6 linked regions of the Daphnia pulex genome follow. The protein of the gene in region 6 purifies or fractionates together with the protein of the main gene of each other region. This does not show direct contact. Links are inferred from orthologs where the notes say so. Each region holds a gene or a part of one and is shown on either strand. Other genes may lie near its edges. The genes, in order: ALK tyrosine kinase receptor-like, protein UBASH3A homolog, ruvB-like helicase 1, synaptojanin-1-like, src substrate cortactin-like and growth factor receptor-bound protein 2.

Region 1 (4,283 bases), on a different chromosome or scaffold from region 6:
GTTTTGCGACCGCTAATAATCGAGTCTCAGTTCTCTCACGTCTCTTCATCCGTTCAGACATGATTTCATTCCCAATTGCATTCGCCTCCTTTTATTTTTCAACAGTAAATCCTCGCCTCATTGTCCCTTGATGGTCTAAAAGGAGGGAGCCAAAGGTCGTCTGCAAAACTTTTATTTTCGTCTGCTTTGCGCAGAGACTTTCAAAGTCTTCAATAAGAATCATCTAATCAAGTGCTCGAGTAAATGTTGTGGGGAGAGTAGCGAGGATGGAGCGGAGGGCGAGCCTTGCTTGACGATGATCAATTTAAGCTGAAGTAGGTTTTGATTGGACGGGGGAATAGAAGACTGTTATATAGGAGGAATCTAAGGCGTGGCGGGGCAAGTCCAGCGTTAGTGACGCGCGCCTGACTTGTCTCTAACGCGACTAATCACTTTTATCCCCCCCCCCACCCCACCCTTTTCCCTCCTCCTCCCCACCACCACCCATTTTCTTTTCTTTTCCCCTTTTTATTTGTATCCAAGAAACTCTACCAGACTGCGTCATTAGGAACGCGGCGAACTGGATCTCTTCGTTCGTTCTTTCGGACGGACCCTAATGGACAAGACCCAAGGAATCTCTTGCCGGACCACCGAAAACATAATCAAAAGAAGAAGAACCAAGGAGATCTTGACGGAAAGAATTGGTATACTTGTGTGCACTACTACGAATAAATGAAAAGCACAAAAAAATGCCCAATTAATTTTGCAATTCAACTAAACCCGCTAAAGTATTTTTAAATCCGCTTCCTGCGTATATATGTGATCAAATATTTATGATTGCATCTTACAGGGTGCAAAAATAAAGTCTAGACGTGAGGAATCCATGAAATGTTTACCCTCCCCTTATTCATATTCAAAAGCGGGGGAAGAGCATTACATCTATCACAATAGTTTTTGTTCGTGTGGGTAGTAGGAAAGAAAAGGTCATCTATAGCCGCAAAAAAAGGAATCCGATTGCCACAGACATGTTCCGTTGTCGTGTAATAACACACGCGGAAAAAAAAAATAGAAGACCCATATACCAAATAGAATCCACCAACTCGACAAGATTATTATTGGGTATATCCAGCTATTGGATTCTTTTCTTTTTTTTTCCAGCGGGAAATAACGTTCGTCTTTTAAACTAGTTCCAGTTTGCTTTTTTCTTTAACAAGGCGTTTCACTTGATTGCTTATAGTGAGTGACCTGTTTGTCGGACGAGTCCCAAACATCCAAAGAAGGCGGATCAACAATGGGAAGTGAGAAAGGGCGATCACGCAACACGCACCACTCGACGAGAGAGGGGGAAATAGGAAGAAATTTCAACGAGTCGTAGATATTAGATGTGAAGCTGTTAGGGTTTTTTTTGCAAAGGGGAAAAATCGAGCCAAAGTGATCCCAGTCAAGCGTGATTGATGTGACGGATAGAATATTTATTCTTTATTTTTCTCAATCGTTTTCCGCGGAATACTACGCCGGTAAGGAGTACACACACGGAGGGGACTAACTTTGGACTCAACTATTATCGTTCTGGTTTTGCTGGGGATGTAAAAACGAAAGGGCGTCAAACGTTTCTTTAGGAGCGGTTGAGATTCACAAGTCGTGAACGAGTAAAGGAAAACGGGAATCAAACACGTCAAACGCCATCGACGTCGAGTTCATTCGGGTAAAATCCAAACTGACTCAGTCGACTGAAAGCACTTTGGGTGTATGTTGATTTTTTTTATTATTCTTTTATTCAAATTTATTGGATTCCGGCGCTGCAGTGGAAAATACTGAAACCGCACTCTTCGACCCGCGATAAAAAGATATAAACCCGATCCATCGAAGCTAGACCGGAAGTCGCTGGAAGCTCTTAAAAAAGAAGCGCACTCAATTCGTTGAGGTAATTCCAATTATCCCGCGGCTTTCGATCACAGCAGCGCCACAAGGAAAGAAAAGATACCCCCCGAAAAGCGTTATTACTATTTTACTCACTATCCATCCAATAGGTGAGATGCAATTCGGCCTGGACGGATAGTAAACTGTGATGCCGGCCGTAAAACGATTGATGCCTGGAAACAATCGCTATAGGCATGGTGGCATTGGATCTAGTCCAGGGAGACCGTTCGGCCATCCATCGTTTCACCATAGACGACACTGGGATAGTCCAAGTTGAATTACTACCACCACCACCGCCACTAGTGCTGCTGCTGCTGCTATTACTATTATTTTCACTTTCACCGCACTGTAGGCGATGCGCCGTGGCGGTCTCGGCCGCTCGGATGGGCGACGGGATGTCGTAAAAGATCCGCAAACGTTTCCACGCCTCTAGATGATGCCAATTTTGGCATCCTGGAACTGAATCACGACTGATATTGGATGCGCCGAACAGGTCGCACATGTCGAAATACGGACGGGCCGGCTGCTGGTCGACCGCCGCATATCGAGCACCATCCTCCAACGCCGGGAGGAATTCAATCCAGGCTTCCGGCAACAAAACTACTTCCGGCTGATGTTGGAGGACGGAACAAGGCAGAGAGAGGCTGGCATGCAGCAGGGCGAAATCCGCCTTCGCCCAACGGTCCAAAAATTCCGGCGGATGAAAGAAAAAGGGCACAATTTGACGCCAAGGATCGAGGAATGTCGATGCCGACGGCCAGTTGACCGTCCGCGGAAGCGATTCGGCAAAAGTGCCCAAATAACAGGAGCCGACACCATCCGGACTTTGGATCACCACAGTCGAAACAAAAAGCCAAAACAAGAGCAATCGCCGCCGACGCTCCATGTGGATGTGGAGGAGCGGATGGAAGAGCGACTTAACACCAAGAAGCTCTGGTCTGCAACTGGCGCAGGAAGGGATTTTACACGATTCGAAAAAAGAAGAAGAGAAAGAAACAGAAAAAGGGGGAAAAAAATCAACACATTGGCACGCTGCTGTCCTTCTTGTTCCGTCTCTATTGGTTCCGCTTAGTCGGGACTACGCAGGCGCTACTCCGCAGCACTGACTTTTGGCTCTATCAATTTCTCTCTCTCTCTCTACCCCCTCCTTCATTCGACGTCGTTCTAACATGTTCTCTTTTCTTCACATTTTTTTTCTTCGGGATCCATTATTTGATGTTGACGAAAACGATGGATTGATCAGGATGGCAACGCATCCGCTTTCAACTACGGATCCGCCCATTCTTTCCCTTCTTTATTCGTTCCTTCCGGAGGAATATTTCTGGACTAGGCTGTAGCTCATCGTCTATACAGGAGCTGCAAATGCACACAAAAACAGCCGAGCCCGTTGCCTATATAGCTCGTGCCTTTATTCAAAAGGACTTTAACGGCCTATTCAAACCGGAGATGGCGATGCAAATTAGGAGTCCCCCCCCCATCCTCCCCCTCACAGTTGATAAGCTCTAGATTGCAATCAGCAATTATGACTTGCTTACTATTATCGATCGATTTCGAATTCCAGAAAATCCTCCAACTTTGTATTCCCGTTCACCCGCTGTTCCTTTCCTTATTGGAAGTTGGTAACAACCCTATCAAAACAATCAAAAGAGGCGGGATCCTTTGCCCATGTCATTTGATGTTGTTGTTCGTCCTAGACTCACGAGCTAAACTACTACCGTACCTACTACAACTGCCGCGATGTCAAACGCTAGTAATTGAACGTGCAGTGCGGCAGTGTACAACTGCAGCCAGCAACTCGTTATCCATGCGAGTCAAGTCTGTTCCTTAACTTTGGTTGTTGTTGTTGTAGATGGTTATTGCATCATCTATTTTTACCGATGAGACTGAATCGTCACGAACGTCGAGTAAAAAAAAAAATAATAAAAGTAACAACCCAAAAAGGAAAAGAAAGAAAAGCAAAAAAAACATTCGACGATGGACCATCAGATTGACCAAAGAGAAAGAAGAAGAGACGGATGAAGTCAGACGCACATTTCCGCTCCGGAATGCCCCGAGCCGTGGCCTGCGAGCCGACCGGATCCGATAGTGCATAAAAACAACATCTATATATATCGATAGGCGGATGAGATAGATGGAGGGAGGTCATCCGTCCTCATAGAAAAAAGACAGCCAAGGATATCTGTCGTATAACTCGGACATGATTGGTTATTACACATATTCTTTTTCCTGATGCTCAGAGACAATCGATTCTTCAGAGTACAGTGGCGTGAATCATCCAGAATCAGATTCCTCAAAGTTATCCCCCTCTGGCGAGTATTGCGCAATATGTTTGCGGTCATGAGGGAGAGAGCGAGAAAGTTAAGACATGAATATTCTTTGAAGTT
Region 2 (3,952 bases), on a different chromosome or scaffold from region 6:
AATGATGAAAAGCCCAGGATTGCAGCTGACGCCACTGCTGGTCACACACAAAAAAATGGATGCCAAATAGGAGGGGAATCATAGTAGGGGAGGAGGTGAATGACGGTTTTTTTTCACAGCGACAAGGAGAAAAGAGAAAAAGTGGAGGAGCTTCTGCTTTGAAAATTATTATCTGCACAACAGGTAAGTGTGTGTGTGTGTATGTGATAGACCGGAATCAATTAATCGGCATACTTGCTGTAGCTGGGGGAACGTGAACGACTGCGTGAGTCCCTGCAATAACAAAAAGAAAAGTTTGTTTTGATGGCTTTTGCAACAGGAAGAAAATGTCAGTAGTTAAGGATCTTACCTGCGAACTCGGTCGCGAGAGACTGATCGAGAGGCTTTCCTGTCGCGGAAACGATCACGACTGCGTGAACGTGATCGTCTGGGTGAGTATCCACCACCTCTCCTTGCTGGAGGCCCACCACCTCCTCTGCGGTCTCCACCACGTCCACCACGGTCTCCACCAAAGCCATTACTTCTCCTCTTGCCTGTAGACATTTCCACCTTCACTCTGGCACCACATAAACGCCTGTGAAACACAATAGCATAAATAACAGATTGTTTGTTGTCAATAATCAACTGCAACTCACACTCCATCAAGGGCACGAACTGCATCCTCTGCATCTCTCGGGTCTTCAAATTCAACAAAGGCAAAGCCAGGGGGATTTCTTGCTACCCAGACATTTCTCAGTGTGCCGTACTTGCTGAAGGCTTCTTCGATCTCGCCTCTGGCCGCGTTAGAGCCTAGATTGCCAACATAGACTTTACAACGCGGATCCCAGTCTTGATGGCGGGACGACATGGCAGGTGCTTTGATGGCAAACGACGATAGAACGAGCAGTTGTAACCGTTGAGTTTGAGTTGAATAAAACGGAGCTTAGTCACGATATCAAAATTTGTGTATCAATAAACTGTATTACCTGGTATATTACGAGTATAAATGGGCGAAACAATATTTAGTTTGACTGTCAAAAGCAAAGAAACGCGGCCTGAGTCCAAGAGGAGGGGAGACGCGTCTAGCCGGTTGTTTCCAATTACTCGATGTAGACAACCACATATTCAATTCGCATTTGTCTTTTTCTTGTTGCCAGTTTTCAATAAAAACATACGCCGCAAATTTGAACGAAAGAGATTTGGCAATCACGAACGCATTTTATTTGGTAAAAAAAAATAACAAAAATGCAGAAAAGATAAGTGTCATTTCATTTTGTTAATGAAAATTCGTTCGAGTCATGAAAAGGTTTGAAGATGTTTACAAATTTTTATTCGATCTTAATTTAATTGCTCTTCTTCATTACAGTCCACTGGCCATGTTATCTTCAACACCATTCCACTATATTTAGAGACATTATCGGGATATTAAAATCGAATTTCGGTATTATTAGGGATTCTTATCTCATCGCTGCTCATATGCGTCACCGTGCAAACTAAAAGTATTCGTCTTGAGAGACATGGCTGAACTACCACCCAGAAAGAATGCAACTCCGACAAAATTGACAAAGCTGTTGATCTCACCTCTGCAGGTTCTCCTGCAGATGGGTTTTCCAAAACACAGAGCGTAAGTCACCCTGTAGCTCATAATACTCGGCACAACATGTAATTCTGTTTGTTGCTTTTACAGGGAAAAAGCCCTCGCTGCAACTGGATACAGAAATGTTCAGTTAGCATCAGACTGGTTGCTGGCCCATGTGAACGACCCCACCTTAGATGACCAACAGCCTAGAGAGTATCTTCTTTACCTGTGTCCGGCTGGCTATCTGCAAAGTCAATTGCAGGAATTTTGGGCCAGATCAGTTCGAGAGTGTGGCAGAAACGGTGCTCATGAGTTCCTACCCCATGTCACTCTAGTTCCCCCTTTCAAGGTTTATCAACAATATATATATCTACTGAAACTGGCATCATTGTAACTGAGTGATTGATGTTAGGTACCTGACAGCAGTGTCCCCAGCATTGTGAGCCTCCTGGAGAGGATTACAGAGCATGAGAGCCACCCCATTCCTGAATTAAGACTAGAGACCTACATTTCACAAAACTTTATGGGCTTCTTCCTCAATCAAGACTCTGCTGAAGTCATCAAAGTCATGGCTTCTCGGTTTGCTAGGGAACTAGCGCAAATCAGTATACATTTACGAGATTATTATTTTATGGCTCCAGAACGTTTCATTAGCTTTGATTCTTATTGCGTGTTTTACAGACGTTGCAGCGGAAGCCCACACACAAGCCCTTCACCTGACGTTGGCATACAATTTTCCATCTGGTCAATTCAGCACACTGGAATATCTTGTTAGAGCTCTGAATCCCAACAATGGCTATTCTCATTGGCAACTACGACTTTACTCGAGAGATATCCGCCTTTCAGGGAAGAAAGTCTACAAGGTCGTCTTCCCGCACGTTCCCCGTGAAACGGACGAACTGGAATTGCTCCTGGGCGATTTTGTTTACGTCGATCCTGAAGCCTGTAATAATTCCATCGACGGGTGGATCGAAGGCATCTCCTGGCTTACTGGTAAATAAGTTCTTAAAAACTATTATTCTCTTGAATTCGATTTAGAAACTGCGGCTTCTTCAGGTTGTTCGGGTTTTCTGCCAAAGAATTATGTCGAGAAAACTGCCGAATCGGACGCCTGGACCCTGCACAAGTACCGCCCATATAATTAGATAGTTCATAATCGAATTTGCTTGTTAACATCAAACTGCTGTTAACAGGAGTGTGGAGTTGAATCCATCCGCTGACGACTTGGACGAAATCGACGGAATTTCAGCATCAAGCGATCAAGCCCGGAGATTGTTGAGTCAAGTGTCGCCGGAATTGGGTTCTAACAGCGGCAAAAGTTCACCCACCGTTCGCCAGGAAATTAGTCCACCAAGAGGGGTGGCCGTTCGACCAACAGAGCTTTCAAAATGTACGGAAAACTACGTCAATTCCGATTTAGATATGGCCGGATTGTCTCCTGTGGTTGAACGGCCTCTAGCCTTCAAACAGGGTCCTCGACGGTTGTTTATAGTCCGCCACGGAGAAAGGGTCGATTTTACATTTGGCACCTGGATTCCTTACTGCTTCGATGAATCAGGTATGTCGGATTATTCAAATTAATAGAAAATTTGAATTTTAAAATTATTCGTTCATCTTGCATTACAGGTAAATACGTCCGTAAGGATCTGAACATGCCTCTGAGCGTTCCCAAACGTCAGGGATCGCCCGAGTCTTTCTTCAAGGATTGCCCGTTGACTATCCTGGGAGAAACGCAAGCTGGACTTTTAGGCCAAGCTTTACGCTCTGCTGGCGAATCCAACAAGATCCAGCACGTCTACTGCTCTCCTTCGCTTCGCTCGCTGCAAACGTGCCAGAACATTCTGAAAGGCCTGGAGATTGAGCAGTCGATCCCGATTAGTTTGGAGCCGGGATTGTTCGAGTGGCTGGCCTGGTATCAGGACTCGATGCCGCAGTTTCTCACACCTTCGGAGATGCTGGACGCCGGCTTCCGTCTCCGCGAGCAGCACCAGTACTTTATCGACTTTAGCGAGCTTTGCGACCGGCGTGAGTCAGCTGAACAGTATTACATGCGCTCGCATTACGTCACCCAGTGCGCCCTCCGCTGCACTGAGCACATCGGTAACATTCAAATTGGATTTTCAAAAGAGTCTTGATCCATCCCTCTCATTTGAGACTTAATTATCTTTTAATCGAAAAAGGTGGAGACGTTCTCCTGATCGGACATGCCTCGACGCTGGATGCCTGTTCCAGACAGCTGGTGGGTGGATTACCGCGATCGGCTCAGGAGTTATCGAGAATCGTCCACCGGATCCCTTACTGCAGTTTGGCCGCCGTCCAGCAGCAGCAGCAGCAACAGTGTCCAGAAGAGCCGGCCGATGATTCAGCCGAGGAAATTGGTAGTAAGCCCCGTTG
Region 3 (4,091 bases), on a different chromosome or scaffold from region 6:
CAACGGGTTTCAGTAGCTAGTACGAGCACTTGAAGGTACTGCTGTATGCCGTTAGCCTCTCTTGAGGCCCTTGACTCATCCTTTTTTGGTTCAAAGAGAAGTAAGTATAAGTAAGAAGAGATAAGTACAAAAGTGAAAGTGTTAACAAACTTGCAAGATATATGGGCTTGACTTTCTCCCACCGCCGTTTGCAATGAGGGATCATTCAGCCAGGTTTCCGCCAACTCATCCAATCATTCAAATTCCACAAAAGGCGTCAAAGATCATTCTCGTTCTTAATCGGAAGGCATTTTGAAGTACTAATTAATAAAGAATTATTGTTAAAAAAACCGATAAGAATGTGATGTATCATTTTAAAATAAAAATATACCTTGTAACGGGTTCTGTATGTCAAATCGAGCTCAGTATTTAATCCATTTCGAAACGAAAAGGTGTTTTGGTAGTAGTTTCATCTCCATTTTTGTTTTATATGACCTTCTGGAGCGAGGAGAGTTTAGTTAGCAAATAATCGCATGCGAATGCACCAGATAATGTTTTAATGAGAATCAGTTTGAGAAAATTGAGGGCACATTCACGTTCGAGTGCTCGCGCTCAGCAGTGAAACAGCGAGCTTTCTAATATTTACTGATAACGAGTTTGAAAACAACGGTTTCCATTATTCTTTCTCCAATGTGCCGAAAATACCAGACAACAAAATAACAACAGCCATGAAATATTCTGTTACTCTGTGTTTAAAAAGACGACAACATTCTAAAAAAGACTACAGCATCAATGCGTGTTATGTGTCAAGTCATCGAACTTGCAGCGTGTCTACTTTGCCGCACCTCTCCTTCGCCTATTCCTGCGTGTGTATGAAAAATGTGTAGGTCATACACGAAATAGATAAACGAAACTATTGTTGGATCTATTCTTTAATTAGTACTTTTAAGTGAAGGCACGTTTGAAGTCTATAATGGGGTTCGTATAGGCTAATTGTTTGTTTGTGTTTGAAATTGAGGAAATAACTGCAGACAAACTTCACGACTTTCGTCACACGCTTGTAACAATTTGACTACTGCGACGGATGTAAAAGATTTTAGCACTTCCCAGTGAAACATGAAATCGAAATGAATCAATGAATAGAAGAAAGAACAAGCTTGTTTGTTTACCAGACGACAGGTGTTTCAGTTTAATTTCGTTTAACGGCTTCGGCAACCACTCAAATCATCTTAGATCTCAGTGAGCAGCCAATCCCCATGGACCCCATCAACCCGATAGCCTGGTTGCCGAATCCTGGTGCTTGATAATTTAAAACTTACAGAATGATTTGCATGTAAATTTTCTTCCATGGTGCTTTTTCTTTTAAAAAAGGGTAAAAAACAAAAAACATTCTGCTTAAAAAAAAATCCTTTTACTACACAGTTGAGTCAAGGTCTACCAGGTGGCGTTTAATCTGGCGGGACTGCCGGTTGTTACCATAGAAACCCTGAAGCAACTTCGTCTCGTGTTCTTCTTAAGGCGTCCACATTTTTTCTGTAAATTTGCAAGTCTTTTATAAATAACAAAATGAAGATTGAAGAAGTTAGAAGCACGGTCAAAACTCAAAGAATTTCGGCTCACAGCCACGTGAAGGGTCTCGGTTTGGATGAATCCGGCAATGCCATAAACATCGCTGCCGGCCTTGTTGGCCAAACGCAAGCCAGAGAGGTAACACACAATTTTTTTCAGTTTTCTAAGAGAAATGTACTCAACAACTGTTTGCTCTACATTTCACAGGCAGCTGGTTTGGTGGTGGATTTGATCAGGTCTAAACGTATGGCTGGAAGGGCTGTGTTGTTTGCCGGGCCACCAGGAACTGGCAAAACTGCCCTCGCCATGGCAATTGCTCAAGATTTAGGCAACAAGGTCAGTCCTGCTTTAACTGTTTACAAGTTGAAGAAATTGAAAATTAAAATTTCATATACAGGTTCCTTTTTGTCCTATGGTGGGCTCAGAAGTCTTCAGCACTGAAATCAAGAAAACTGAAGTTTTAATGGAAAACTTTCGTAGAGCTATTGGCCTTCGTATCAAGGAAACGAAAGAAGTTTATGAAGGAGAAGTCATTGAACTTACCCCAGTTGAAACTGAGAATCCTATGGGAGGTAAAAGTTAACAACTCAGTTGATTTTTATGACAAATTTTACTACCAGTTATTTGTTTTACAGGATATGGCAAAACTGTCAGTCATGTAATCATTGGACTGAAGACGGCTAAAGGAACAAAGCAGCTCAAGTTGGATCCTTCCATCTACGAATCTCTCCAGAAGGAACGTGTTGAAATTGGTGACGTCATTTACATTGAAGCCAATAGCGGAGCGGTTAAACGTCAAGGCCGATCTGATACGTTTGCCACCGAGTTCGATCTCGAAGCCGAAGAATATGTCCCTCTTCCTAAAGGCGATGTTCACAAAAAGAAAGAAATTGTCCAGGACGTCACCCTACACGATTTGGACGTGGCTAATGCCCGCCCACAGGGAGGCCAAGACATTCTTTCCATGATGGGACAGCTAATGAAGCCGAAAAAAACCGAAATCACAGGTAATATTTTCATATACTTCAAAAATGCTTACCAAGATTTAAATTTACATTTTAATTGTAGACAAGCTGAGGAGAGAAATCAACAAGGTAGTCAACAAGTACATTGACCAGGGAATTGCAGAGCTTGTACCCGGCGTGTTATTCATCGACGAAGTTCACATGCTGGTAATAGACCAATAAAAATAAAGATATTCAAAGTTAGTGATTGATTTTAATTGAATTTCAGGACATGGAATGCTTTACCTATCTCCAAAAAGCGCTGGAATCGGCTATCGCCCCCATCGTTATCTTTGCCACTAATCGAGGCATGTGCACAGTCAGGGGTACCGATGATATTGTGGCTCCACATGGTATTCCTCTTGATCTACTCGACAGACTTCTCATTCTTCGGACGATGAAGTACACCGCCGAAGAGATGGTACAAATTATCCGCATTCGTGCCAAAACAGAAGGATTGAGCATTGAAGACGATGCCCTCCAAGCTCTTGGTGAACTTGGCAATCGAACTACTCTGAGGTAAGAACAAAAATTGTAAAGCAAAAAAATGATCTTATTAAACAATCAAATGTTCTTGGTTTAGGTATGCGGTTCAGCTACTTACACCCGGCGCCCTGACAGCTAAAGTTAACGGTCGCTCTTCCATCACCAATGAAGATATAAAAGAAGTCGGAGGTCTGTTTCTCGATGCCAAATCATCAGCCAAGATCCTGACGCAAGACAAAGACAAGTACATGAAATGAGGAATCGAGTCAAATTTGCTGGTCTGTGTGTTTCTTTCCATTTTTCTTAATAAAATTATCCTCCACGAATAACCAATTCAGTTCGTCACGCTACTCCGCTTCCATTTTTCTAAACACATTTCTCATGACCAACATATTTAGCTCTGTGTACCGCTTTTCTATTCGAAACTTGGTGTCGTTGGATAGCTGCTCTCTCAAAAGTTACGGACTTTTAACTTCTTTCATCTAAAAACGGGTGTACAAAATAAAAACAGGAAGCCGTTTTGAACGATTAAAATACATTAAAATGGATCGAGCTTTACTAAAAACATTGATTGAATTCTGAACAGGGGAAAAATTTCACCTCGGATATTTTGATTTGACAACGACGCCGCGCCAAATAGCAGACGAAAAATACTTGTTAGAGATGGCGTCTTTCAATCTTTGTGAATTTTTATACACAACACACCTGCTGGATTGTTAACTCACTGGATCATAAGCTGGTTCGAATTACTGGTCTCAGAATTTCGCCAACGCCATAAATTGGTCTTCTCATAGGGGTGAATTGTTGTTGTTATCTCACGAAGGCTTTGGTGAAAAATACCAAGGGTCTGGTTGTGCATTTCCGAATTAAAACAGGTGGACGTGTGTGCCTGCGATGATGGGCCAGCACGACATTCAAGAGTTTTGTCTCAAATGGAACAATCATCACAGTACTCTGGTATCCGTCCTCGACTCTTTGCTCGTGAGAGAAAGTCTGGTAGATGTAGTCCTGGCTGCTGAAGGTCAATCCATAAAAGTACACAGATTAGTTCTT
Region 4 (4,002 bases), on a different chromosome or scaffold from region 6:
AGATGTCCGCTGTTCGCCAACCTTGTTCCTCGCTTAGACACACCAATGATCTATTCACCAAAATACCACAAAAATTGCCATTAATAACGGACTTGGACGCAAGGAAAAGCGAAGAAACAAAAAAAATAAAATAAAAATAAAATAAAATAAACAAGTCAAAAGAATTTAAAGAAAATCCGTTAACTAGAATCTAAAGGAAAATAGACAATTACACATGCTCCAATCATTTCCAAATTGGGATGCTCTAATCATGCTAACATATATTAGTTAACTCACCCATCCCAATTCCACGAAATAAATTTTTTTAAAGGGTAAGTAAAAATGGGAGAAAATTACAGTTGGCTTTTCAGTAAATTAAGGAGTAAGTTTTACCTAGCGGCAGCTGAATCTTGATGTGGACTATCAAGCAACCAGTCGGCCAATGTAGAGTCTTTGTAAACGACACTACGGAAATGATGACCACCATTGACGTTGTATGTTCCAACTGCCACGCGAATAGGTTGCGGCTCCGTGAATTCAGAATAGCGAGAACACATGCCATGCAATATATCGGCAGGCAGGACACTCCAGTGCGGTGGTAAAAGACTGCGAGCCAGGTCAAAGATGAAATCATTCCCCGTACCTCCATGGATCAGCAAATCGAATGCTTCCTATTTTAAAAGGACCGAGTTATATTTCCAATTTCAAGCTTACGATTTAATTTCGAATTTTACCTGTTTACTACTGTCCAATAAATTATTCTTAAAAAAAATAAAAAAAATATAAATGTTATTTTAACCTTTCAAATTATACATTAAGTGGAAATAAAACACCGGGCATAGGTTACGCATAGCCTACTTGAATAGTACGAGCAGCCGAACGCGCGCCATCCATTATCTTTGATCCACCCTATTAGAAAAACACGTTCTTAATTAATTCAGAAAAAAAGAAAGAAAAAAAAAAACAGCTCAAAATAAAATTTTTAATAAAATCAATCACTTGTATAGCGCCAGTTCCAGCGTAGATTTTGCTGATTTCATTTCCATTGTTAACCCACATCGCCCGGAAAACTTCCTCAAACCTTGTCCACGTCTGTGGTTTCGTCTGGGGTTCTAGCGCCTCCAATTGTAGTGCTAACATCTCTAAACCGATGAATGTCTGCACACTTTTTTGGTAACAAAATATGCAACTATAAGTCACCAATCCACAAAAACAACCTAAATAATTAATCATACCAATTAGTTCGGTCAAGGCAGTCAAGACAGTTGGTACGAACAACTCCTTTTTGCTGTGAAACTACTCGCTGATTCTTGAGTAGGAAGAAGGAATGGCGATCTAGGATCGGCTTCAGACTTTGTTTCAATTTGCTGAGATTTTGGAGATTACCACCTTTACATTCTTGGTGGTAGTCGAACATTATGTGAGGCATTGCTTCGTAGTAGCGCTTCTGATCAGCCTGGAAGAGTTGACTAAGAGAAGCCTCGCCTTCTTTCGCACCCACCATGTTGAGACCGAGTAGATTTACAATAGCTGTGTCATGATATCTTTGCTGCATTAGTTTCAAGTGGCGTTCCAAAGCTGGCGAAGAAGCTTCAGGGCCACGAGAAAATCTGACTTTATGCGAGCCTACTTGAACACCTGGCTGTTCCCAGAAGAGGGGGACAGATCCACGAGTTTGAAGAAAAGCTGAAGCATCTCCTTGGTCACCATATATGAGTTGCTCCGTTTCAACGAAATTAGCTACATGGCCTTCGTCGTTAACGCCGCGTACATTAAATCGCGTACCAGCCCGTTCACAGCTAAGACGAGAAAAAATTGCTGCTTTGAACTGACGATGTCCTGCATAAACAGTGCGAATTTCAACGCTGCCACATGTTATCCGTAGAAGCCAGTGGGAACAGTCAATTCCATAATGTTGCAATGGTAGATGCAACAGCCTAAAAAATTAAAAATTAAGTTAAGACTTAACCCACAACACTTCCTTACTTATATAAAAATCTGGTCTATTTTGTTTGTAATTGCAAACCTATTCCAGAAAAATCTGTTGTCTGTCCCAGGATTCTGTTGGAGCTTCTGAGTACATAATGTAGCATCAATCGAGTCTTCACTTGATGACCAGAGAAAATAAAATGTGCCAGAGTTGAATAGTTTCCTCAGTTCAGTGACTCTCTCTTCTTCCACTGTTTGGGGTCCCCTCAGTGGAAAAAAACTTGTTTGATTGATTCTAAACACTTCTGACTCCCCAATCTTTCCAACTGACACACAACCTGTAACCATGACTAGATATTGTAAGGGTCCATCTCCTACAACCCAATATAAAAAAACTTAAATTAGATTCTAAAAATATGAAAAACTTAAATTATTTAACAAACCTGTACTGACTAACAGTACTCCAAGGCATCCATAAGCATCAGAGAGTTTTGTGTATGATTTTTTCACAACTTCAACCTCAGCAGATCCTAGTTAAAATGGTATACATTTTGGTTATTTGTATGTGAGAATAAAAAGAACTTTGCTTCGATTACCCAAGGCAGCAATTACTAGAGATTCAAATAAGAGAGCTTCGTCTCGGTTTCGTTGTTCGAGTAAAACACTGTACGGTCCCTGTCCATTGACTTTATGCCATATTTTATAACTTTTTCCCATAGCCATTTTTGATGGCTCACTTTAACAATACAACTTTTAAAAATAAAATGTGCGCTCACATTAGCTTTTACGTGACTTAGAATGGAATTGATACGCTCGGCTCGTTCTCGCACATTCGTCTGTCAAAAAGACAAAAATCAGAATGTCAAAGTAGCACAGTCGGGATCAGCTGTGCAATGTGCTGAATCATAGAGGATAGGAAACTAGCTATCAAACTAGGAACGAAAATATGATGAAAGCGCTCGCCGCGCCCCCATGCTGCAGTGTTCGGAAGATCAATTGGGAATTTAAATTGGAAATGATTAAATCGCGATTTAAATCAACTTTTGGGTGATTTTGATTTTGATCTTAAATCATTTTGTCTTTTATGATTTTTTTGGTGATTTTTCGATTTTAAATCACATTTTTATAAATCAAAATCAGAAAGCAAATTTTTCCCCAAAACTATGTTCAATGATCCAAATTTCTAATTCGTATTCGTAAAAAAATTCGTACAAAAAAACCACCTTGGTGGGGTTGGGGTGTGCAAATGAGCGTGAATGCCAGTGCCCGTAAAACATGTTTTAAAGTTTTGAGTTTTACGGGGCTGACGCGCTGCCCAAGCCGGCCTAAAGGGGGGGTGGGGTAGGGGGTCGAGCGGGGGAATTACGCACATCCCTGGGAGAGGGTAAGGGGGTTATATATATGGTATATGTTTACATTTACAAAACTTACTCAAATATAAACGAAAAAACGAGGTCTTTGCATGAATAAGGGATCGGGTGGAAATTAATATGATTCGAATCAGTTTTTCACGCTGATTCTCACAGTATGTTTATTTTATTATCAAAATTATAATTTCCCCACGTAGAATATCTTATCTAAGTTGAGATAAGCTCCCCCCACTTTAAAACGGACCCCACGCAATTTTTGGAGGGCGGTTCTTTTAATGTGGTGAAATTGCAGAAGACCTTAATCCAAATCACCGTTTTCATGCTGCCTACAACCCTCTTTTGCCTAAAGGCCAAATACAGATAAGGTGGTGTTTTGCTCCACATCGCTGGCTCCTGCACCGGCGGTGCACCGGCGGTGGGGATTCAAGCAGTCAATTTTTTTGTGGAGACCAAAGCAGTTTGAACATCTTTTTTGGTTTGTGATGATCGTCTTCTTTTCCTCCAGCTCCATTGTGCAGTTTACATGCAGAAAACGCAGGGCAGCGTTTGTTTTTTTGGGGTTGGAGCTGCTGCTTCTCTCCTTGGAGGTGGCGCCTTGTTTTTCCTGGGTCTGTTAAGAGATTTGGATTGGGTAGTCGGCTTACTGCTTACTCCGAGCTGCCTTTGGGTGTTGTTGCTGCTTTGACTAGTTGTGGAATTTGTACCGGCTTTGGGTTCTGTACCC
Region 5 (4,261 bases), on a different chromosome or scaffold from region 6:
TCAACAGGCTGCATAAGATAGATTGGTCGGTTGGATCTCGGCACAATAATCATAACAAAGCATTGTGATTTGAGTCGGCAAACAACATCTAATTATTGGTTCTTAATTAAATGCAGATAAGGGATAACTTGCAATTCTCTTTCCACAATAATAGGCAAGAACGATGTTTTTCCGTCACACATTTTCATCAAATCAACTAATCTGTAATAAGTAATGTTTTTCTTCACCGCGTTGTGAATACTGACTGGACAACAATACACGAATATAACGCCACGCGTAAAAAGAACCGCCATATGGTTGGCTTACGAGATAAGGAAAATTCTTGGAAAGAATGCTTAACAATTGGGAATAAAAAAGAACCTTGGATTGTTGGATAAAACCTGGAAGACGAAAAAAACTGGATAGGGTTTCACTGTTGCAGTTGGACGTAATTAGCGGGAAATAATCCTATCTGTCCTCTACACTCCCCTCGCCACCAACCTTCATCGATCTGCACAGCAAAAGAGTTGGTTAGAAACTAAACACATTTTATAAATTAATAAACATTACCATTTCGATGTTGACAATGACTTCATCCGGGTCAAAGGAGAGCTCGTCTTCTGCAGCAGCTTGGTAATCGTAGAGGGCGACTGCAATAAGACCGGATCCAGTTTCTTCCGCAACTGTTTCTAAATTCGAATTCTCTTGGACGTAGCCTATCTCTTCTTCGTCTTTCCAGGCGTCATCCTGCTCATCCACTTGCTCCCTCCACGCTCCATCATCCACTTCTTCGACAGCTTCGGCCAGATCATCGTTCCATCGTTCAAGGGATTGCGCGATATGTTGTTGAGTTTGTGCCGGAACAGGTGGAACGACAGTCGGTGGAGGTGAAGGCGACCTAGCAGGTTCTGGAACTGGAGAAATCACAGGACTTTCTCGGATGACTGGCTCTGGTATAACAGGCGACTTGGCTGGGAGGAATTGGTTTTGTCGGACAGGTTTTTCTGTTTGGGGGATTTGTTTAATGGGTGGCTCTGTTTGAGGCGTCGACTGTGTTTCGAATTTGTGTGCTATCTTAGCCATTGGGCGGGGATTCTTCGGTGGAGGAGGAACAACCTAAAGAAATGAAAAATGATGTAATACATTTGTTTGTAATAAGAAACTATCAAACGTTTACCATGGCTGCTTTCTTGTTTTCTTCAGCAAAATTTTCAAAACGGGATTTCAGCAAAGACGCTTTACCTTTCTCTATGGAACCAAATGAGTTTAATAAATTCAAACCAAGAAAAACTTAACGGAAATTTTTATTGTTACCCGCAATAACTGGCTTATCCTTCTCGTAAGTAGTACCAACATGACCTTGTTCTTCATCAAAACCGACGGCCGCTGCATCTTGTCTATCTGTTTGAACACCAAATTTTCCTCCGAAACCTTTTGAACCATCTACTTGGCTCTCATGTTTCTCTACTTTTTCTTGGTAATCATAACCAACAGCACTCTGTCACAAAAGATAAATTAAGAAATTAGTTGGATTACAATAACATTGCATTGGTAGGTTATACTTTATCGACTCGATCAGCCTGGACACCAAATTTACCACCAAAACCTTTATTTCCATCCACCTGACTTTCATGTTTCTCCACTTTTTCTTGATAATCCCAGCCAACTGCACTCTAAAAATTGCACTTCAATAGAAAAAATTCCTTTGTTCAAACAGTTATAGAATTTGTTACTTTGTCGATGCGGTCGGTTTGTACGCCGAATTTCCCACCAAAACCTTTGGAACCATCTGTTTGACTTTCATGCTTTACCAACTTCTCCTGATAATCCCAACCAACAGCACTCTATTTAACCGATCCAAATAAAACGTGAGAAAATAGTGGGCATAACTGTAAAGTAACTGAAATAAAACAATAATGCGCATATTTTAATGAAATACCTTATCAACTCGATCAGTTTGAACTCCAAACTTGCCGCCAAACCCTTTGGCAGCATCTGTTTGACTGCCATGTTTTTCAACCTTGGCTACATAGTCATGCCCCACTGCAGACTTATCCATCCTTAATAAACAATAATAGTAAGAAATTGGAAAGATGTACAAAAAATGAATCCTGTTCTTACCTGTCCTTTTGAATGCCATATTTCCCACCAAAACCAGTGGTGTAATCTTTTTGAGAAGCATGTTTTTCAACTTTTTCGATATGTTCATGCCCGACTGCACTTTTATCCATACTGAAGAAACAAAAACAAAAGTTGATGAAATTCACATTTTAGTTTTCTAAGAAAAACATACCGATCTCCTTGTACACCAAATTTTCCACCATATCCATAAGATGCTTGAGGTCCTGCAGCCATTACCTTTTTCTTGAGCTCCAGATCTTCTTTAGTCGTTTGCTCTCGTAGAGCATTCATACTGTAAACATTGACAGAAACCGTTAACGTAAATACACAATGTCTTGAAGAAAACATTTATGCTCACTCAATAGCACCCGCAGTTCTTCCCCCACCCCATCGTTGTTCTTCTTCTGTTACGTTGTTAATATAATTGGGATCGGTATCCCATTCATCGTCATCTTGGTTGACAACAGGAGCCTTGATGCTGGAACCAACTGCTGATTTCCACATGTTATTACAATCTAGAGAGAAAAATAAATTTTAATTTAAAATTATTTGTGATAATTAATGATCTCTCTGACGTACAAATTCTTTAATAAATAGATATAATACTAATTTAAACCGGCTAAAAGTTGAGTCACACGCCCTTTCTATTTGATAAGAAGTTAAACAATCCGGATAGTTTATCTTGCAACAATGCCATTCGGAAATGAATTTTAAAAACTTATTTTTATTTCGTCATAAAATCTACTAATAATAATTAAAAAAAAAATTTAAATTGTTTCTATGAGTATAAAAGTGTAAATATCATTAATGAAAAGTTTGAAATATGATTTGGCGCAGCATAAAGATTCAAGCATGCACCATGCAGTCAATGCAGACGAAAACAGTAAACAAGAAATCATCAAACTGATTGTGTTGAGGCTTCAAACATCCTGAGAAAATGTCGACGAGAATGTAAGTCAAGAATTTCAAAGCTTAATTGGGTTCACTCAAAATTTATAATTAGTTACGATTAAAAAATCTAAAAATGTAGATATCCAGCTTTCAAAAGCGGTAGTCCTAAATTACGGGTGTTCCTACCTGACTTTTGGATGAAGCTTGTCAAACCGAGCCACAATTTGCTACCTAATCAAGTTCAGTTTGTTGTCTCATCACAAATGACCAAGCTTGATGTTAAACAATATCTTGAAAAAATTTACAACCTCCCTGTTGTTCATGTCAGCACCTACAACCAAATGGGTACGACAACATTATTGAGGTTAAAATAAGTGATGTTTTACTAACACTTAGAATAATTTTCTTTAAAGGGAAAACAAAAACTTTACCCAACACTTATGTCACTAAGGAAAATGATGAAAAAATAGCCTTTGTAACTCTGGTAATTTGAAAACTTATCTTGTTTAATGTTTCTTCAACTGTAACCATTTTGTTTTGTTTGTTTTTTAGCACAAAGACCACAAATTTGTCTTCCCAGAAATTCATGGCAGTACTGACATTTATGATGAGCAAACTAATACTATGAAACAGACAAAAGAATTGTATGCCCAGAAAACAAGCATTAATATTTCTAAACAAGGAGTGCCTACATGGTTTAGTCATTGAATTTGTAAAAAATTTGTTAGAATACAGTAATAACATATGGTTTATTTATTATTTTATTTCATTTGTATAAGATAAAAAGAAACTCCGGGTAGGCCTATGGCACGGTATTTGGTGGGGGGGGGGGGACTTATTGAAAATATTTTGCTTCGGAAAAAAAAGTGGCAGAAAGCAGAAAAGGGATTCCATAATTTTTCATTAACGTTGTATTGTATTACCCATTAACCCGAAATATTGAATAACTTTTAATAGTCTACATTTTTTCTCGTAACGCCAAACAAATAAGAACCAGATTAAATTTACAGATATGATAGTGGTTACCACCATTTAGCTTATTTTCCGCCCCAATGAGCCATAGGTCCATTGAAAGGATTCTTGATGCATTTATCCGAACTCAGATAAGCTGCAACTTTCTCTAGCCCTCCGATTCTCGCGTGAAATTCTTTCAGATTTGGGAATTCATCAATTGACCCAGGAATCATTTGAGAGTTCTGGTCCAATAACTCATAGACTACAAAGTCAATGTAGGTAATCTTCAAGAGAATCCCATGAGAGAAGGAAAAAA
Region 6 (3,953 bases):
CGACCAAAGCCACATCTAATGGCAATCCCGAAAGCTGTGTGCTTGAGGGGAAATACAGTCGAAAATCGAGGTTAGAACAACATAAACGGAAAAAAACTGAAAAGAAAGCAATTTTACAAACTGCTTTCAATGAGAAATGAGATGCAATCCTGTCAATCCTAGCTGTTCATCACTTTTACTGTTTTGTTATCAAAGTTAGTAATGTGTTTAGGTTCGAAGTCGGCAAAAATAACTTGAGTCTTAAGAACGGACGCACCACTTTAATACAAAAAGAAAAAAAAAATGAAGAAAAATTTATGAAGAAAAGAAAAGGAGCAAAAGAAAACGAACGAACAGTGCCTTCGCCTTTTAAGTATGATACGGGGCAACGTAAGTGGCAGGAAAGAGGCCGCGGCGGGCGCCAATTTCTCCAGTCCACCAATGTTGATCAGAACGGTCTGTCACAGTTATGACGTCGCCTCGCTTAAATTCCAATTCACCTGGTTCTTGCGGGGTGAAATCGTATAGTGCCTGCACCAAGAACTGTCGAAAATTCACACAACAATTGTTAGTCAATCCTGAGCCTAAAGGCATGGAAAAAAGAACAACTGGTAACTCACCTCTTCAGGCACCATGTCTCGTAACTTTATATCCTGAGACCGAGAAACAGATGTGGAGCGATGGTAGTCGACCAGTTCGTTGAGCGAGTTGAATTTTACCACCCACAAAAAGAACTTCCCTTGGGCATCGCGAAGTACTTTGAAGTGCTGGACACCATCGCCACATCTGCGAGACAAGAAAGAAAAAATAGAGAATAGCCTATTAACACAGAATGCACGTAACAAAGTATTGTGTAAATTTCAAACTAATTTCGAACTACAAGGAAGTAGGATGATGGCTTCCTTAGCTATAAACAAAACACACTCATCCTACAACTTAACGGGCAAAAACCTCAAGAAGGAATAAATAACACAGCAGGGCGATGAGAGAATTGTAAAAACTAAAAATGATGCAAAACTCCGGTTCAAGGCACATATATAGTTGCTTGATTACGGACGGTGGCTCAGTGGTAAGGGAACTTGACGAAAAGGCCTAACAGATAGAAAACAGAATGTACCCTAGACACGCCTAACAAGGCTAATAAAATACCAAAAAGGATAAAACTAATTACTGAAAACAGTAGGACTGACGGTTCATGAATCACGAGTCACGACTTAAGCAAAGGGTAGTCACTGCACGAGTTCCAATTTTACAAGCTGTCTTTGTTTTTTTAAGGTAAAACAAAATAGACAATTGAGATTCATTCCACCTTTGAAGTGAATAAAATTGGAATGTAAACGGATGTGTGCGTCATCAGGTTGACTCATGCACTGCATTTGGAAAGAATTCTTGCGTGATCAAATCAAATTTCTACAGAAAACCAAATACCCATGATTCTTTGAGGGAAATAGAAATAAACTGTACGTTCGGTTCATTAATTTTCTATTCAAACGCGTCTTCCTAGTAAGGTAGAACTTGTATCGTACAGTTTGGAGAGCGAGATTATAAGATATTTGATTTTACACTGATGAAAGCCTGCATGTTTGAAATTCTTTTCACGCTTCAAATGTACGTGTAGCGTCTAATCAGGATATCTGAATGCAAAGCGATATTTCTCAATATGTTTTTATAATGTGCTATTTCTACATAAATATTTTGAGAAATCTTCCCGTTTTAGGCAGTTAACGACTTACAAGCTTAGTTAATAGATGTCAACTTATCTCATTCAGATGTTCTAATGATAAGTAGTCTGGTATGCCACAAATAGATTTCAACAACATTTGAGAATAGGCAAATAATAACATCAAACATAGTAGAAGAATTCCTATGGGGCATTTCTAAACTATCTAGAGCTCTTGGTTAAGGATTTACACTGTCTATGTTTCTAAACAAAATCTATCACATTGTTATTTTAAGAACTAGATAACATACTTAACAGACAGGGAAAAGTCTCCCGGTGAGCTCTCACTGACTCTAACAACAAAAGCGCCTTCATGTTTGTTGCCCAAGAGTTTCTCTGCATCAGCTCTGGTTATTCTTCCATAGTACCAACTGTAGAAAATAAAACAACAAGTTATAATCAATATGCATTATTTTATCATAAACATTTCAACTAGGCTTACTCATGATTTTTCATTTCAATGTAGTTACTAGGAATCAACCCTTCTTTTCCATCCAATTCTGCTCTATACCAATTCAGATCATCTTCCATATTCAGAATCTACATTTGAATCAAATGAACAGGTTAGAATATTGCTATAAGCAAAAATTCCTTAAATTCTGTTGAAAGCATCATTGCTTGGTTTACCTTGAGAACTTGCCCTTTTCGAAAACTAAGCTCATCTTCAGCAGTGGCATTAAAGTCATGTTTAGAATTGGCCTCCATCTCGAAAATAACACGTTTTATGAAATCACAGATGATAAAGTATTTCTTGGCAAAACAAGCTTCAGAGAAGGAATTTCCTTTTCAAGGCTAGGCCGGATGTGCACCACGGCTACGTTTATCAAGTGAAACGGTTGTTGGCCAATCACCAAAATGTTTTGACTTCGTTCAAAGTCGAATTACACTTCTCGAAACTCAAAAACGAATAGCATTTCCCACAAATTGTTTGACAATATTGACTATCAACTGACGTATCCGTATCCACGATTGTTTGATTAACTATACACTGTTTTCGGGGCCCGACGAAAGCCAGACAGCCATAATTTTGGGAAACAACTTAGTTCTTGGCTTTGACGCACGAGCGTCACCAGTCCTTTTCTCCCAATGGAATTTTAAAGGTAAATGCTTGCGTGCCTGTAAACGTTTTTTATTTTTTCTAACTATTTTTTTTCCAAATGACTGAAATTATTTAAAATATTATTTCAATTACAGGAATATACATTTTTTATAATACAACATAATAGATGAATATTTTAAGATTTTAAATATTTAAATTTCCGTCGAATTCTTTTGGAAAAAGCAATGTGGCAACGTTATCTGCCTCATTTGAATAAATGCAAATGGTTTTCAAAAGGAATCTCGACCCAGAGATTCAGACCAGTCCGGACTTGAATTTAGAAAAGCAACGTGCAGTTCCTTTTGACTAATTTTATCGACCAAACCCTCTTACAATCTTATACAATTATTGTCAGATGATTTTCTCTTATATTGCACTGTGATTATTACAAAAATGAAGATAACTTTATATTTAGTGGCCATAATTCTCCTAGGAACTGGTAGTCATTCTAGTTTAGTAGGTTGGATTTTAGGCAGAGACAGCTCCCCTTTTAACATTTTGAGTAGTGAAAAACAATTTGATAAGCTTATGGCTGTAGCAAAAGAAGATGATAAGATTGAAGTTTCTGAACCTGATGAGAGTGCTGTGCAAGCAAGGTCTGATATTCCATTTGAGCTGTCTGTAGCTGATGAAAAATTCATTGCCGATGCACAGAAATATACTGACCTTAGTCTGAGCGAGCTGGATGTTTGCCAGCATAAAGTAAGTAAAGTACTTTGATGTTGATTCAAAGTACAATCTCACTGTTCATTAATATTAATGAACTCGTTTATAGTTAATCCTTCAATTGAAGCAAGACTGCAATGATCTCTCAGAGGAAGATTTGTCTAAGTTGGGTGTGAATCTTTTAAACTGCCAATCAAGATTGGAAGGGCGGAGAGTCTACCCATGCTCCTCTTCAATGGCAAGTTTTCTAATTAATGTATCACTTCAGCTAGTTGTAGCTAACCAGTTTATATTTTTTAGACTTTAAGGGAATGTACTTCTGACATGGATTCCGACACCTGGAATGCCTACCATATTCTATCCAATAGAGCAAGATCAGTGTGCTACGGTGCCCGCCAACAACAGTTTAGAGCACTGACTCAAATGACAGTCAACAAACTCATGGCCAGTTCTAGTCAACAATTGGGATTCATTAGAGAGCTCAAGGTT

What was found.
Region 1: the proteins of growth factor receptor-bound protein 2 (region 6) and ALK tyrosine kinase receptor-like purify together in Homo sapiens (affinity purification with western blotting; 3 studies listed by BioGRID and IntAct, with this or other methods). This does not show direct contact. The link is inferred for Daphnia pulex from reciprocal best matches to the Homo sapiens genes GRB2 and ALK.
Region 2: the proteins of growth factor receptor-bound protein 2 (region 6) and protein UBASH3A homolog purify together in Homo sapiens (tandem affinity purification; 3 studies listed by BioGRID and IntAct, with this or other methods). This does not show direct contact. The link is inferred for Daphnia pulex from reciprocal best matches to the Homo sapiens genes GRB2 and UBASH3B.
Region 3: the proteins of growth factor receptor-bound protein 2 (region 6) and ruvB-like helicase 1 purify together in Homo sapiens (affinity purification with mass spectrometry; 3 studies listed by BioGRID and IntAct, with this or other methods). This does not show direct contact. The link is inferred for Daphnia pulex from reciprocal best matches to the Homo sapiens genes GRB2 and RUVBL1.
Region 4: the proteins of growth factor receptor-bound protein 2 (region 6) and synaptojanin-1-like purify together in Homo sapiens (co-immunoprecipitation; 3 studies listed by BioGRID and IntAct, counting the BioPlex papers as one, with this or other methods). This does not show direct contact. The link is inferred for Daphnia pulex from reciprocal best matches to the Homo sapiens genes GRB2 and SYNJ1.
Region 5: the proteins of growth factor receptor-bound protein 2 (region 6) and src substrate cortactin-like purify together in Homo sapiens (affinity purification with mass spectrometry; 3 studies listed by BioGRID and IntAct, with this or other methods). This does not show direct contact. The link is inferred for Daphnia pulex from reciprocal best matches to the Homo sapiens genes GRB2 and CTTN.

The regions. Positions count from the first base shown.
Region 1 is NC_060021.1:6,292,310-6,296,592, reverse strand, and holds the start of ALK tyrosine kinase receptor-like, read right to left. Parts: upstream 2,801-4,283; 5' UTR 2,786-2,800; coding exon 1,996-2,785; intron 1-1,995. UniProt on the Homo sapiens protein: Neuronal receptor tyrosine kinase that is essentially and transiently expressed in specific regions of the central and peripheral nervous systems and plays an important role in the genesis and differentiation of the nervous system.
Region 2 is NC_060024.1:13,150,284-13,154,235, forward strand, and holds the start of protein UBASH3A homolog, read left to right. Parts: upstream 1-1,152; 5' UTR 1,153-1,285; intron 1,286-1,345; 5' UTR 1,346-1,496; coding exon 1,497-1,603; intron 1,604-1,666; coding exon 1,667-1,907; intron 1,908-1,970; coding exon 1,971-2,163; intron 2,164-2,239; coding exon 2,240-2,551; intron 2,552-2,614; coding exon 2,615-2,684; intron 2,685-2,751; coding exon 2,752-3,116; intron 3,117-3,184; coding exon 3,185-3,658; intron 3,659-3,738; coding exon 3,739-3,952. Other genes in the region: RNA-binding protein 1-like, read right to left, coding at 222-273, 350-574, 636-847. UniProt on the Homo sapiens protein: Interferes with CBL-mediated down-regulation and degradation of receptor-type tyrosine kinases. Promotes accumulation of activated target receptors, such as T-cell receptors and EGFR, on the cell surface.
Region 3 is NC_060023.1:12,188,576-12,192,666, reverse strand, and holds ruvB-like helicase 1, read left to right. Parts: upstream 1-1,413; 5' UTR 1,414-1,545; coding exon 1,546-1,686; intron 1,687-1,755; coding exon 1,756-1,884; intron 1,885-1,945; coding exon 1,946-2,120; intron 2,121-2,183; coding exon 2,184-2,555; intron 2,556-2,616; coding exon 2,617-2,720; intron 2,721-2,781; coding exon 2,782-3,071; intron 3,072-3,135; coding exon 3,136-3,295; 3' UTR 3,296-3,591; downstream 3,592-4,091. Other genes in the region: longitudinals lacking protein, isoforms A/B/D/L-like, read left to right, coding at 3,933-4,091. UniProt on the Homo sapiens protein: Possesses single-stranded DNA-stimulated ATPase and ATP-dependent DNA helicase (3' to 5') activity; hexamerization is thought to be critical for ATP hydrolysis and adjacent subunits in the ring-like structure contribute to the ATPase activity.
Region 4 is NC_060023.1:5,749,180-5,753,181, forward strand, and holds the start of synaptojanin-1-like, read right to left. Parts: upstream 2,801-4,002; 5' UTR 2,632-2,800; coding exon 2,505-2,631; intron 2,439-2,504; coding exon 2,352-2,438; intron 2,283-2,351; coding exon 2,006-2,282; intron 1,917-2,005; coding exon 1,215-1,916; intron 1,145-1,214; coding exon 979-1,144; intron 889-978; coding exon 838-888; intron 741-837; coding exon 714-740; intron 651-713; coding exon 373-650; intron 51-372; coding exon 1-50. UniProt on the Homo sapiens protein: Phosphatase that acts on various phosphoinositides, including phosphatidylinositol 4-phosphate, phosphatidylinositol (4,5)-bisphosphate and phosphatidylinositol (3,4,5)-trisphosphate. Has a role in clathrin-mediated endocytosis.
Region 5 is NC_060023.1:10,192,546-10,196,806, reverse strand, and holds the start of src substrate cortactin-like, read right to left. Parts: upstream 2,801-4,261; 5' UTR 2,680-2,800; intron 2,616-2,679; 5' UTR 2,605-2,615; coding exon 2,459-2,604; intron 2,393-2,458; coding exon 2,273-2,392; intron 2,212-2,272; coding exon 2,101-2,211; intron 2,040-2,100; coding exon 1,919-2,039; intron 1,824-1,918; coding exon 1,713-1,823; intron 1,653-1,712; coding exon 1,542-1,652; intron 1,478-1,541; coding exon 1,294-1,477; intron 1,228-1,293; coding exon 1,157-1,227; intron 1,096-1,156; coding exon 550-1,095; intron 491-549; coding exon 410-490; 3' UTR 1-409. Other genes in the region: 39S ribosomal protein L23, mitochondrial-like, read left to right, coding at 3,038-3,051, 3,131-3,336, 3,405-3,475, 3,544-3,699.
Region 6 is NC_060028.1:9,115,225-9,119,177, forward strand, and holds the start of growth factor receptor-bound protein 2, read right to left. Parts: upstream 2,801-3,953; 5' UTR 2,405-2,800; coding exon 2,327-2,404; intron 2,240-2,326; coding exon 2,142-2,239; intron 2,071-2,141; coding exon 1,951-2,070; intron 766-1,950; coding exon 600-765; intron 523-599; coding exon 349-522; 3' UTR 1-348. Other genes in the region: protein brambleberry-like, read left to right, coding at 3,192-3,500, 3,574-3,702, 3,765-3,950. UniProt on the Homo sapiens protein: Non-enzymatic adapter protein that plays a pivotal role in precisely regulated signaling cascades from cell surface receptors to cellular responses, including signaling transduction and gene expression.